Danio rerio: one gene and its partners. The protein of the gene in region 3 purifies or fractionates together with the protein of the main gene of each other region. This does not show direct contact. Links are inferred from orthologs where the notes say so. Each region holds a gene or a part of one and is shown on either strand. Other genes may lie near its edges. The genes, in order: gatad1, suds3 and sin3b.

Region 1 (4,140 bases), on a different chromosome or scaffold from region 3:
ATCACATGGCAGCAACTCAATGCACTTAGGCATGTAGACATGGTCAAGACGATCTGCTGCAGGTCAAACAGAGCATCAGAATGGGGAAGAAAGGTGATCTAAGTGACTGTGACCGTGGCATGGTTGTTGGTGCCAGACGGGCTGGTCTGAGTATTTCAGAAACTGCTGATCTACTGGGATTTTCACGCACAACCATCTCTAGGGTTTGCAGAGAATGGTCTGAAAAAGAGAAAATATCCAGTAAGCGGCAGTTCTGTGGGTGCAAAAAAAGGGTCAGAATTTGGCATCAACAACGTGAAAGCATGGACCCATCTTGCCTTGTATGAACGGATCAGGCTGGTGGTGTAATGGTGTGGGGGATATTCTCTTGGCACCCTTTGAGCCCATTAGTACCAATTGAGTATCGTGTCAACACCACAGCCTACCTGAGTATTGTTGCTGACCATGTCCATCCCTTTATAACCACAGTGTACACATCTTCTGATGGCTACTTCCAGCAGGATAACGCACAAAGCGTGAAATATCTCAAACTGGTTTCTTGAACATGGCAATGAGTTCACTGTACTCAAACGACCTCCTCAATCACCAGATCTTAATCCAATAGAACAGGGGTGTCAAACTCAATTCCTGGAGGGCCGAAGCCCGGCACAGTTTAGTTCCAACCCTGCTCCAACACACTTACCTGTAGGTTTCAAACAAGCCTGAAGGACTCAATTAGTTTGATCAGGTGTGTTTAATTAGGGTTGGAACTAAACTGTGCAGAGCTGCGGCCCTTTTGGAACTGAGTTTGACACCTGTGCAATAGAGCATCTTTAGCATGTGATGCTATCATGTCAATATGGAGCAAAATCTCTGAGGAATATTTCCAGTACCTTGTTGAATCTATGTCATGAAGGATTAAGGCAGTTCTGAAGGCAAAAGAGGGTCCAACCAGGTACTAGTAAGGTGTACCTAATTAAGTGGCCAGAGAGTGTACATTTCATGTGTAAGAAAAGGACACAGGACACCACCAAGGAAAAACAAACCTGATTAAAACTCACATTTTTCAGTTTGAATATATGTCGTCTTCCTTTTCCTTTGGTGGAGACTTTTTTTTCAGATGCCGGTGCTTTATACTTAGTGCTTCTTAACCTAGCAGAGCGTCTGTGTATTTCCTGTTTGGACTGCAAAGAAAAAGAGAAAACACAAGTGGTTTCATTTAGAAATACTGTCCATATATTAAACTTACCATAAAAATATGTATAAAATACATACAGTTTAAGTCAAAAAATTCAATAATTGGAATAATTCTTTTCTTTTTTAAATATTTTTACAGAGCAAGGACATTTTCACAGTATGTCTGATAATATTTTTTCTCCTGGAGAAGGTCTTGTTTTATTTCAGCTAGAATAAAAACAGTTTTTAATTTTTTAAACACCATTTTAAGGTCAAAATTATTAGCCTTTATATATATATTGTTTTTTGATAGTCTACAGAACAAACCATCATTATACAATAACCTGCCTAATTCCCCTAACCTGCCTAGATAACCTAATTAACCTAGTTAAGCCTTTAAATGTCACTATAAGCTGTATAGAAGTGTCTTAAAATATCTAGTCAAATATTATTTACTGTCATCATGACAAAGATAAAATAAATCAGTTATTAGAAATAAGCTATTAAAACTAGTATTTTTAGAAATGTGCTGAAAAATATCTGCTCTCTGTTAAACAGAAAATGGGGGGAAAATATACAGGGGGCGAATAATTCTGACTTCAACTGTGTATATAATTAAAAAATAAAAACATATTGGAATAAATAATGCTTGTAAAATAAAGTCTTATCCAAAAGTACATACATTTAAATTATTGTATATGCCTATATGATTAAAATAAATCTTGGAAAATATCAGTAAAATGTATTTATAGCGCCTTTCACAGTCACAGTGCAACACAGCAAAATAAATTACTCTCTTATTTACGTTAGATTTATTTTAGTCTTATTTTTAGACAAAAATATCTAAAACAATAAAAAATTGTCTTGTTTTCAGAAATAATTATTCTAAATTAAGTGAGTTTTCCCTAAAAAACAGCAAAAATCAACATTATTTTGCTTACCAACGACTGCTTTGCTTGTTTTAATGTAAAATACACTTAGTTTTTACTAATTATTTCTGAAAACACGACATATTTTGTTTTTGTTTCAGGAAAACGCTTCTGGATTTAACAATTTTTAGATATTTCGACAAACTTTAAGTCAGAAACAAGACAGTAAGAAACGCATTTTTGCAGTGTATTAAAACATTGAGGTAAGTTAACGTTCAAGTGAAAATAAAACCTTACCCCAATGGAAAAAAAACATACATGAACACACCGATTTAAAATCTAAGTACAAACACCATAACAATGTATAACCAGCCAGCCACACTGTTGATTAAAATGTACGTTAGCAGTTAAAGAAATGTTATTAATTAAAACAGCTTTCGTACCTGTTTCCCTCCGCCATTATTCTGCTGGATGGTGGAAGAAGCAGAAGCTCCGGAGCCGCCGCTGCTTACAGCTTTACCCGTGCAGCCATTACACAGAATTTCCCCCTGGTTTCCCTTTTTCCACATGGAAGAACTTTGTGTTTTGCACACAGCACAGCATGGTTTTAAACCAAGAGGCATGTTTGCTAACACCAGTCAACGCTCCTGCAGCTATCTCTGAAGTAAACCGTTGGATTTTTTCAGTTGAAAAAGCGAATACAGTCTACATGTATCAACAAATGCGATTTTGAAACAATATGACCCTTACTTTAACCTTAAATAGAGATCCTTCATTATTAAAACAATGAATGATAGGTCCCGTATGTTTTACCATGATAAAAAAATAAAAAAAACTTCCGGTGGACGAAAGTGCGAACTTCAAAATAAAAGTCTTGCTTAGGAAGAGTTCGTATTTTTTCAAAGTAAAAGTCTGCGTTAGTGTCTAATAAAATATAATTTAAAATACATTATTTCCCTGAAATAAAACAGATACAGTGAATAAAAAGTATTTCATCCCAAAAAAAAATCTAAAATGTTCTGATGTTTGATATCTGTGAGTTGTTCTGTAGAGGAATATGTCTGTAAAGTGTTTTTTATTAAAAACACTTTACACTGTACAAACTCTGTCATTGTTCTCAGCCCAACTGAACCTACAGCTTTAATAGTTTTCTAATACTAAAAACTGTAATTTAGAAGAAAAACATTTAGAAATAGGAAGTTTAAGTTTTTATAATCCACATCAATTGATTAAAAAAACATTAAATTATAAAAAAAAACCTACAAATATATAATACAAATACATTTACAATTGTCCCCATGTTTCTGTCAGTCCTGTCACATTTACATTAAATTTAACATACAATGTGTGCAAACACGTTTAAGGCTATGACTCGAAAGTGACATCATTTGACAGAGAAAAAGCTGACGGTGTTCAAGGATGCACTTTATCATTGAATTGTAAGATTTTTTGAGGATGACAAGCTTAAGACAGGTCCTGTCACATTTATTTATAAGTGAAAATCTATTCTATATAGATTCTGATGTTTCTGATAGAATGACCCTTAAACTTCTAGAGGGCGCCGTTCACTGTCGTGAAATTTTAGGAAAGCATGTACACTGTTGCGTTAGTTTTACCATGAACCACAACAAATAAGATTGAGTTTAAAACCTTTTAATCCGAGCAAACCTTTTCCAATACTTTCTGTTTACTGGCTACACATCATACAAACTGGGAATGTATCAAGTATAGTCTATGAATGTGCAAATGACAATTCAAGGAAAAGGGTCACATTTAAAATAACAAAAGAATTGAATTAACTTATATAAAATACCACCACCAAAAACACTTCAGTAAAATAAACAAAAACATAAAGCAAAATCCATCCATTTCTACACAAAACGTTCAGGTTTAGATGTAAAAACTAGTCATCACTTATAAAGAAAGGTGAATCATCTAAAGTCAAAAGAGTAAAAATTAAATGTAAAAGTCTTATATCTATAATAAAAAAAAAAACTAAGTAAATGCACCAACTATTCGTTTTCACCTTTCATTATACTTATATTAATGTCTTCACAGAGTAAATCATAAACCAAAACATGGCGACCTGTTCAGTGTAATACAAAACAAAAGTCTC
Region 2 (4,173 bases), on a different chromosome or scaffold from region 3:
CTTATATAGATGTAAACATACACAATTAAATAAGTAAATACCAATATAATAACAGTTATATACAATTTTTCAGATGTATGTCAGCCAGATAGACAGAGAGATATAAAAATAGCTCTAATGTACAGAATCCCTTCACATAAATCATAAGTGAATGGTAGTCAGTCAGAAGGAATACTTACTGCTCTTTGATTTCGACATAGTCGTCCTCATCATGTTTGGCAAGATCTGTTTCACTGGCATCTTCTGTGTCTATAACAAAACAATAATAAAAAATTCAATAAGAGCAATAGAATAATATATGGTACATACTGACGACACTTAACTGCACTAAAGCTAGAAATGATCCCACTGAGTTTTGAACATAGATTATTCAAATGACTTGTAAACATATATAGCGCCATCTAGCGGACAGACAGTGTAGTTTAAATATATTTATATGGTAAGTGAGTCAAGTAGTTTACACTAGCTATCTTATTTATTCATTCATTCATTTGTTATCCTTCGGCTTGGAGATTGCCACAGACGAATGAACCGCCAACTTATCCAGCATATGTTTTTACACAGTGGATGCCCTTTCACCTGCAATTCAGTACTGAAAACATCCATACACTGACACTCTCATTCACAGACATACACTATGGACAATTTAGCTTACCCAATTCACCTATGGCATATATCTTTGGACTGTGGGGGAAACCGAAGCACCTGAAGGAAACCCACGTCAATACCAGGAGAACATGCAAACTCTGACCCAGCTGGGACTCAAACCAGCTACCTTCTTGCTGTGAGGCGACAGTGCTAACCACTGAGCCCCTGTGTCGCCCTTATTGAATTCAAATTATGTTATATTTTATTTGTGATCAAATAAATGCAGTTTTGGTGAGTGATTCTTATACTAACTAATTATTATAGGGTAATATTGTATTTTCCAATGTTTATTATTCCAGCCTAAACCACGGCGAATGAAGCTCTGCACAAGACTTTTGGCCAGCGGAGAAATTAAAATGGTCGTGCCCAACTGAGTCTGGTTCCCTCAAGGTTTTTTTTCTTCACTCCCATCAGGTGAAGTTTTTTTTCCCTCTCCGCTGTCGCCACTCCCTCGCATGGTTCAGGATTGGTAGAGCTACGCATCGATGAATTTGCTCTTCAGTGTTTGAACTCTCAGTAATGATTAAATCACACTGAACTGAGCTAAACTGAACTGAACTGAACTTAAACACTAAAACCTGAACCACACTGTTCCAGTTACTATGACCATTTATGTGAAGCTGCTTTGACACAATCTACATTGTAAAAGCGCTATACAAATAAAGCTGAATTGAATTGAAATGAATATTAAGGTTTTATTTTAATGTTTAAATATTTTAATTATATTTTAATTATTAGCACCCCTTTGACTTTACTATATATATTTTTTTATATTTCTCAAATTATGTCTAACAGAGCAAGGACATTTGCATATTATGTCTGATAATATTTTTTCTTCTGGAGAAAGTTATTAGCCCCTTTAGGCTATATATTTTTGATAGTCTACAGAGTAAACCATCATTATACAATAAATTATCTAATTACCCTAACCTGTCTAGTTAACCTAATTAACCTAGTTAAGCCTTTAAATGTCACTATAAGCTGTATAGAAGTGTCTTGAAAAATATCTAGTCAAATATTATTTACTGTCATCATGGCAAAGATAAAATAAATCAGTTATTAGAAATGAGTTATTAAAACTATTATGCTTAGAAATGTGTTGGGAGAAAGTTCTCTCCGTTAAACAGAAATTGGGGAAAAAATAAACAGGAGGGGCTAATAATTCTGACTTCAACTGTATATGTGGTGAGGGAACATTTGATATTCATCAGTTCTTTATTTTTCTCAAAACTGGATGATGAACTTTATATGCATTGAGGATGCTGGCAATGCATAATAAAAACAAAGCACGTTTCTACATTTTCCGGAGGTTTCTATAGACCCAAGTTAAATACAAAACATTTTTGAAAAGAAATTGCATTCAAATACGATTGTAGTTCAAGACTGATTTGATTTTCATAAATATACGTTAATATCAAATCTTTACAACACCACTAGAGCCTACATCTGAGCAAGTAACCAAACCAAATATTAGCAACTACAACTAATCAGCTTTTAATATTCTACTTTGAATGCAAGAACGTCCTCTGATACATCTTAATACAAATAAGTGGGTCTCATTTTACAAGCATTTTAACAGCATAGTAACTTCATGCTTCCTGACGTAACGTTATGCTAACTCTGCTAGCTGTTTATCAACAGGCTGGAGAGCACAAAAAGCACAAGTATGACAACATTTATAGCCATTATGTAGTTAAATTCCCACACAGTCCCTATTTACGTCTAAAACGATCACAATAAACATAAAATAATTCAAATGAAGTTGCAAAAACCCAGCGAGCATACAAGTCGAAACACATGCATACACTTTCATTACGTTAACATATATCGGCGCTCAAACAGCTATCAACTTACAGGTTCACAACTAAAATGATAATTTTAATCAATAATTTATTATATAATTGTATTAAAATGTAAACTGGCTATTTTTGTGCGTATTCACCTTCTTCCGAGTCTCTGCCTCTGAAACTGCGATCTTCATCTTCATCAACGCTATCTAGCTCTTCCTCGTCGTTATAATAATCCACCATGGGTGACAATAAAGTCGAGGCCATTTATTAGTTTAAAATATTGATAACACCGCAGGAAACACCAACGTGTAAACAATCACACAGCACCGACAACGTTTTCAGTCTGTCGAGCCTCTTCTTTTTTTCAACGGGAGGGTAGGCCGAGGAATCTGATTGGTCGAGATGCTCGAGCAGCGCATGATGGGAAATGTAGTATGAACCGCTTGTGCGCAATTATGACATAAGGGAAAGAAGAAATGGGAAGGGGGAGAGAGAGAAAGAGAGAGTACTCTGTCCGCGTATTGTTCTTATTATCATTCAAGGAACAAGAAGAATTTCTGAAGTTAATAAGGCTAAACACTTCTCAATCATGAAACCTTATAACGTTCAGGTAAGCGTACGGAATGTCATTTTGAAATGACTTATGAGAAAAGACATGCTCATCTATATTTTAGTGTCGCTATTTACGTCTGTTGAATGAATGACACAGAACGAGTTTCATTTTCATCTCACAGACTGCTTTGGCTACGGTTTTCTTGCCCATTCACAAACACCGAATGTTTGTTTTTAATCATTATTGACATTGTTTCTGACGAACAAAGTGGAATCAACTGTAAGTGAATTATATTTAATATTATTTTGGAAAAATATAAATATTAACTGTAGTAAAATAATTACTGTATTCAGTATTCTGACAGCCTCTCAATTGTATTGCGTAATCTACTACTACTGCTGCTGCTAGTACTACTACTAGTCTAGGTTCCTTCAACTATTACTACTTTACGAATGTAATAATATAATAATAATATAGTCTAAAATATGATATAGAGAATTGTATAATAATAATAATAATAATATTAATAATAATTCGTTTAAGAAATGCAACAACAATGAACAACATTTTACATTGATTGTAAATAACAAAGCAACAACAAAGCTATTTAAAATAAAATATAAAAGCTAACAACACTTATTTAGGGATCTGTTATCGATTTACATATTTAACTAATAACAGGTGTTATTAAATGGTTTGATGGTTTGATGAATTAGCAAGAAAACCAATCCAACCTCTGCTTGTTCAATCTAACTACACATAAATTGAATACTATATTATATTGACTGGACAGGTGAAATAATTTACGGTAAACCATCTATCTAATTATCATTTGACTGTGTTATAATCAATTTTCTGATAGCTACTGTCATTTCTATTGTGTCTAGGGGAGTTGTTCCTCATCCAACCGGCAGATGGCGGCGTTGAGTTTAAAAAGCGGTTTGACTCGCGAGATCGTTTATCAGCGCTGTTACCTTGTAGCAGGTACGATGGGTTTTTAAAAGCGTCAGATGCTTGTCAGCTCTTTGTCAGTCGCGCGGGGTTTATTGCGACATCCACGCTGGATACCATAAAATGAACTGCATGGGCGATTTATAATCACACAGACGGTCGAGATAGTCATGACGTCTGTCGAAAATAAACAAGTTGATGCGTTTTCAGGTGCAGGAGCACCAAGACGCC
Region 3 (4,296 bases):
TTGACACTCATAAACAATCATAAAGCCCTCATGCTGCAGGAATGAGGAGGTTTGCTGAAGGTGCGCAGCTGTTGTGCAGTGAGGTATTTGCGTCTTTAATAAACTATAGCAGTTTTCGTTCACTGAATAGTAGGATGATTAATAAATCCATATGAAACAGTCCCTTAAAAGTCACGTCTCGCTTTCAGTTTCGGGCTTTGGCGCGTTTTGCACTCACACACAAGCGTACCGCGCTCAGGCCCATCTCTTCCAACCGGGCCAGGGCTGGCCAAGTGAACCATGCCTGAGCCCGATTCAGCGCACTCACACTTCTCAAACGATCCGGGAAACAGGCCTAGGCATGGTTCAGATAGCATAGTGTGAGTGCGCCCTTAATGACTGTATCGGTACTTGCCAATCTGGCCGATCACATGAACTGATCGCAGGGGTTTGTTTATAAGTTTACAAGCAGAGGAAGATACATGTGCGCTCCTGTATGTTACGCATAGCCTACAGCAGCTATGATAGTCTTTTTGTTCCAAGTGCAATCATTGTATTTGAAAATATTTAAATGGTCTTTAGACCTTTTTACATATAACAACTAAATGTTATGTGTTTTTGACAATATTGCAAGTTCACTTAAAGCTGGCTGCAAAATTAGATAAATAAAACTTTAAAAATATATTTTTTTCTTAAATCGTTAATAATATAACATCTTGTAATATACTTATTGCAAAACACACTAGTTTATTAGCCTATTGCATTTATAGGTGTGCATTTTAATTTCTTATGCATCAAATATGCGTTTTAACTTCTTTTTTTATTGAGACATGTTGAATTCTCCTTTCATCATTTGCAAGGTTTCTAAGTTGCAATGTTTGTCATTTTTTTAAACACTTTTTATATCTGTTATTATTTTCTGTAAAGCTGCTTCTGGCCATGACATGTCCACACTAAATGGTTAAGAGAGACATGTTTATGGTATTATTTGCAGCATTCTTAATTTATTCTCTTAGATAAGGCGAGATCTCCACTTAAGTATCATACTTAGAGGGAAAATGTGCTTAATGCATTATAAAGCTTTAAGCATTAGAATCTGTACTAGGTATCGGCCAATCACCATGACAAAATTGGTACTCGTTAACGACTGCAAAAATCCTGATCGGAGCATTCCTAGTGTCACAGCAAGAACTTTGCAGGACACCAGCCCTCCAGGACTGATTTTGGGCACCACTGTATTAAATGATTCATCATCAATTGATGGAAGTCTAGTGACTGTATATAGAAATACACACCCAGATAACATATCAGTACTTGTCTTCAAGAAAAGACTAAAAACTCAACTATTTAGTCTCCACTTTCTTTCGTAATCTGCAATTGCCTCTCTGGCTGTACTACTAACTGTACTCAAAAAAACAAAAAATAAACTTACATTACTAATGCTTTGCTTCTTAGACTTTACACACCTGAAACTTGCCTACAGCACTTATTCATTGCTGCTCTTATAGTTGTGTAAATTGCTTCCTTGTCCTCATTTGTGATTCGCTTTGGATAAAAGCGTCTGCTAAATGTCTAAAAGTAAATGTAGTACTCCGTATTGGCTGATACACTTAGACCAGGTATGTGCAACAGTAACAGAACCAGAAAAGGCTCAATCATGTTTTTTATGTTGAGGTTGGCCATAGCATGGTATAGATAATCCCACCACTATGCCCTTGTTATTTTAGACCACTTTTGTTATCAAATTATCATTATGGTTTCTAAAATCAACTAGCAAACTGGAAGCAAAACCAAGCTTTTTTATGCATCTATTTAAATACAGATTAGCTCTTTTCAATGGTGCATGTATTTAAAGCCCTGTTAGTATAAACTCTTGCTATATGGTTTCTGTGAAACATGGAGAGAACATAAGCACAACTCAACTAAACCCTAAACCCTATGCCCTTAGCCATGGATTGATGGGGAAATATTTTAATCTGAGAAAAATGGCAACGTGTATTTTTCTAGAAGAAATGTTGATTGTATGCTTTGTAAAGCATGGCAATTTGTAACGATCTCTTTAAGTCTGCTAGGTTGCAGCACGTTGACAGTTGTTCTGCATCCCTCTGTGTCTCCTGCAGGAATGTGAGACATTTCCGTGGCTGGCAGATCAAGCAGGTTGAAGCCATGCGCTGCCGGAGAGAGTGGCATAGAAAGATGGGTGTAGAGACAGCCGGAAACCTGGACTGCCGATTCAAACTGAACACACACAAGATGGTGTTTGTGATGAACTCCGAGGACTACATGTACCGCCGAGGAGCCCTGGTGAAGGCTCGGAGGGTATGTAGATAAAATACAAAACAAGGCCTATATAGTATGTATGTGGTATGGGCAGGACAGCAAATTTGATGTTTTTCTCTTCTCTTATCTGGCTGTCATTATCAGTCACATTATACTTGTTTTCCTTTTTTGAAATTCTTGATAACCCCATTGTTGAGTGTTTATTATTTCAGCAAATAGGATTGTAAAAATATTATTTGTTGTACTCTTCCATTCACTGTGCTCTAAGTTTACCCATCTATGATGACTTCCTTTACTGAATAACCCGGAAATGTGAAAAAAGGTCCATTTAAGTGTTATTTTCTTTCAAAAAAAAAAAAAAAAAAATTCTGACTCAAGCATTTGAATGGCATTGCATTTCTTTATGTCTTAATGTTGTCCTGTTTCTGATTGTAGTCTCAGCACAGAGTAGCGAGGGCTCAGCACGAGCGCTTTGAGCAGTGGCACCGGGGCTGGCTGAGTGAACACGTGTCTCCCGCCGCCGAGCGCAGTGTGCAGGATTGGCTCATGGGAGAAGAGGATGAGGACATGATACCCTGCAAGACCAATTGTGTGTCCCTGCAGGTCAAAGGCTTGCATGTCAACAGGTACCAGGTGCACTACAACAGCAAGGCCCCCGCCTCGCCGTAACAACCTCACGCCTTCAGATGGAGTTTTGTGATCTCTCTCTCTTTCTCTTTCTGTCTCACTCACTGATTCATTCTCACGGCCGAGGTCAAGTACTCTCAGCCCAAACACAGCATTTAAGGAGGACAGACAGCTGCTCAGAGGAAGAAATCCTCATCGACGAGCATCACATCTCAACACTAGTCCATCATGGCCGATGCAGTTATCAGACGTTTCAGAAATGTGAATGTCAAAAACTTTTTTTGTTTGTTTTTTTTTAAAGAAAGTCCATTGTAGTTTTTAGCAACTGAAAGCAGAGTTTGTTTTGTTTATACTGAAGTATTGAGAGACTAGGTTTAAAGTATGTCTGCAAACATCTGTATGTGTCTTTTTGTACAGTACAGTCGACTCAAGAGCTCGAGCAATTGCATATATGCGGCAGAAAGATTATTCCGTGTGCATTTCCTTGGCTATGAATGATGACCTGGAAAAAAATTATGTTTTCTCTGGCGCACACTGGTATCCTATCCGTAATGTCCTTGTTTTAGTTCTCTGTTTTGTGTTCTTTGTTTTCATCGTCTCTTCTAACTAAACAGGATTGCCGGTGTCGTCCGTCAATCACTGCTCATGATTTATAGTCCATTTTGTTAAATCTTTCAGATCATGTATCATATCGATCTCGCCAAATCCTTGCTTTTGTTTGGTGTAATTTTTACATATTAAAACAGAAAATGACAAAATATCAGTGTTTTGAAAAAAGAATGTATAACATTTATCCTGTATCAGTTATCACAAAATAAACAACCTAGTTGTGCAGTTCTTAAAGAACGGGTTACGATTCTTGCTGAATTTGACATTAGCTTTAATTATGCTGCATTATCCCTTTTTGATCATTTCTTTGGTGACCCTTTTTCATAGAGATGCTCCGATCTGAATTTTTGCAGCCGATACTGAGTACCAATTTCTTGATCGGCTGATACCAATTACTGATTCATATTCTTCAAGCTTTATACAGTTTTGCCATTGTATAGGCACAATTACCCTTTAAATATGAGATCTCACCTTACCTAAGATAATAAATAAAGGATGTTGCATACATGTAATGGTCAGAAGCAGCTTTACAAAAAATAAATAAATAAATAAAATATGGTAAAAAAATTACTAACAATGCAATTTGGAAACATTGTTCATGTGTTGTAGCGCTGCTGATGTATAACCCAGGTGCGCACATGCATCTTCCTCTGCTTGTAAACTTATAAACAAACTCTTGCGATCGGTTCATGAGATCGGCCAGATCAACGAGTACCGATCGAGTTGTGAAATGTGATTATCGACAAATACCGATCTCCGGCCGATCGATCGGAGCATCTCTACTTTTTCATTTTAATCCAT

Evidence for each region.
Region 1: the proteins of sin3b (region 3) and gatad1 purify together in Homo sapiens (affinity purification with mass spectrometry; 5 studies listed by BioGRID and IntAct, with this or other methods). This does not show direct contact. The link is inferred for Danio rerio from reciprocal best matches to the Homo sapiens genes SIN3B and GATAD1.
Region 2: the proteins of sin3b (region 3) and suds3 purify together in Homo sapiens (affinity purification with mass spectrometry; 3 studies listed by BioGRID and IntAct, counting the BioPlex papers as one, with this or other methods). This does not show direct contact. The link is inferred for Danio rerio from reciprocal best matches to the Homo sapiens genes SIN3B and SUDS3.

What each region holds. Positions count from the first base shown.
Region 1 is NC_133194.1:46,813,808-46,817,947, reverse strand, and holds the start of gatad1 (GATA zinc finger domain-containing protein 1), read right to left. Parts: upstream 2,859-4,140; 5' UTR 2,775-2,858; exon of another isoform or gene 2,684-2,774; 5' UTR 2,648-2,683; coding exon 2,468-2,647; exon of another isoform or gene 2,322-2,467; intron 1,164-2,321; coding exon 1,041-1,163; intron 952-1,040; exon of another isoform or gene 683-951; intron 592-682; exon of another isoform or gene 318-591; intron 220-317; exon of another isoform or gene 1-219. UniProt on the Homo sapiens protein: Component of some chromatin complex recruited to chromatin sites methylated 'Lys-4' of histone H3 (H3K4me), with a preference for trimethylated form (H3K4me3).
Region 2 is NC_133180.1:16,230,986-16,235,158, reverse strand, and holds the start of suds3 (sin3 histone deacetylase corepressor complex component SDS3), read right to left. Parts: upstream 2,813-4,173; 5' UTR 2,703-2,812; coding exon 2,591-2,702; intron 250-2,590; coding exon 180-249; intron 1-179.
Region 3 is NC_133183.1:15,973,390-15,977,685, reverse strand, and holds the end of sin3b (paired amphipathic helix protein Sin3b), read left to right. Parts: intron 1-2,099; coding exon 2,100-2,298; exon of another isoform or gene 2,299-2,581; intron 2,582-2,694; coding exon 2,695-2,928; 3' UTR 2,929-3,729; downstream 3,730-4,296.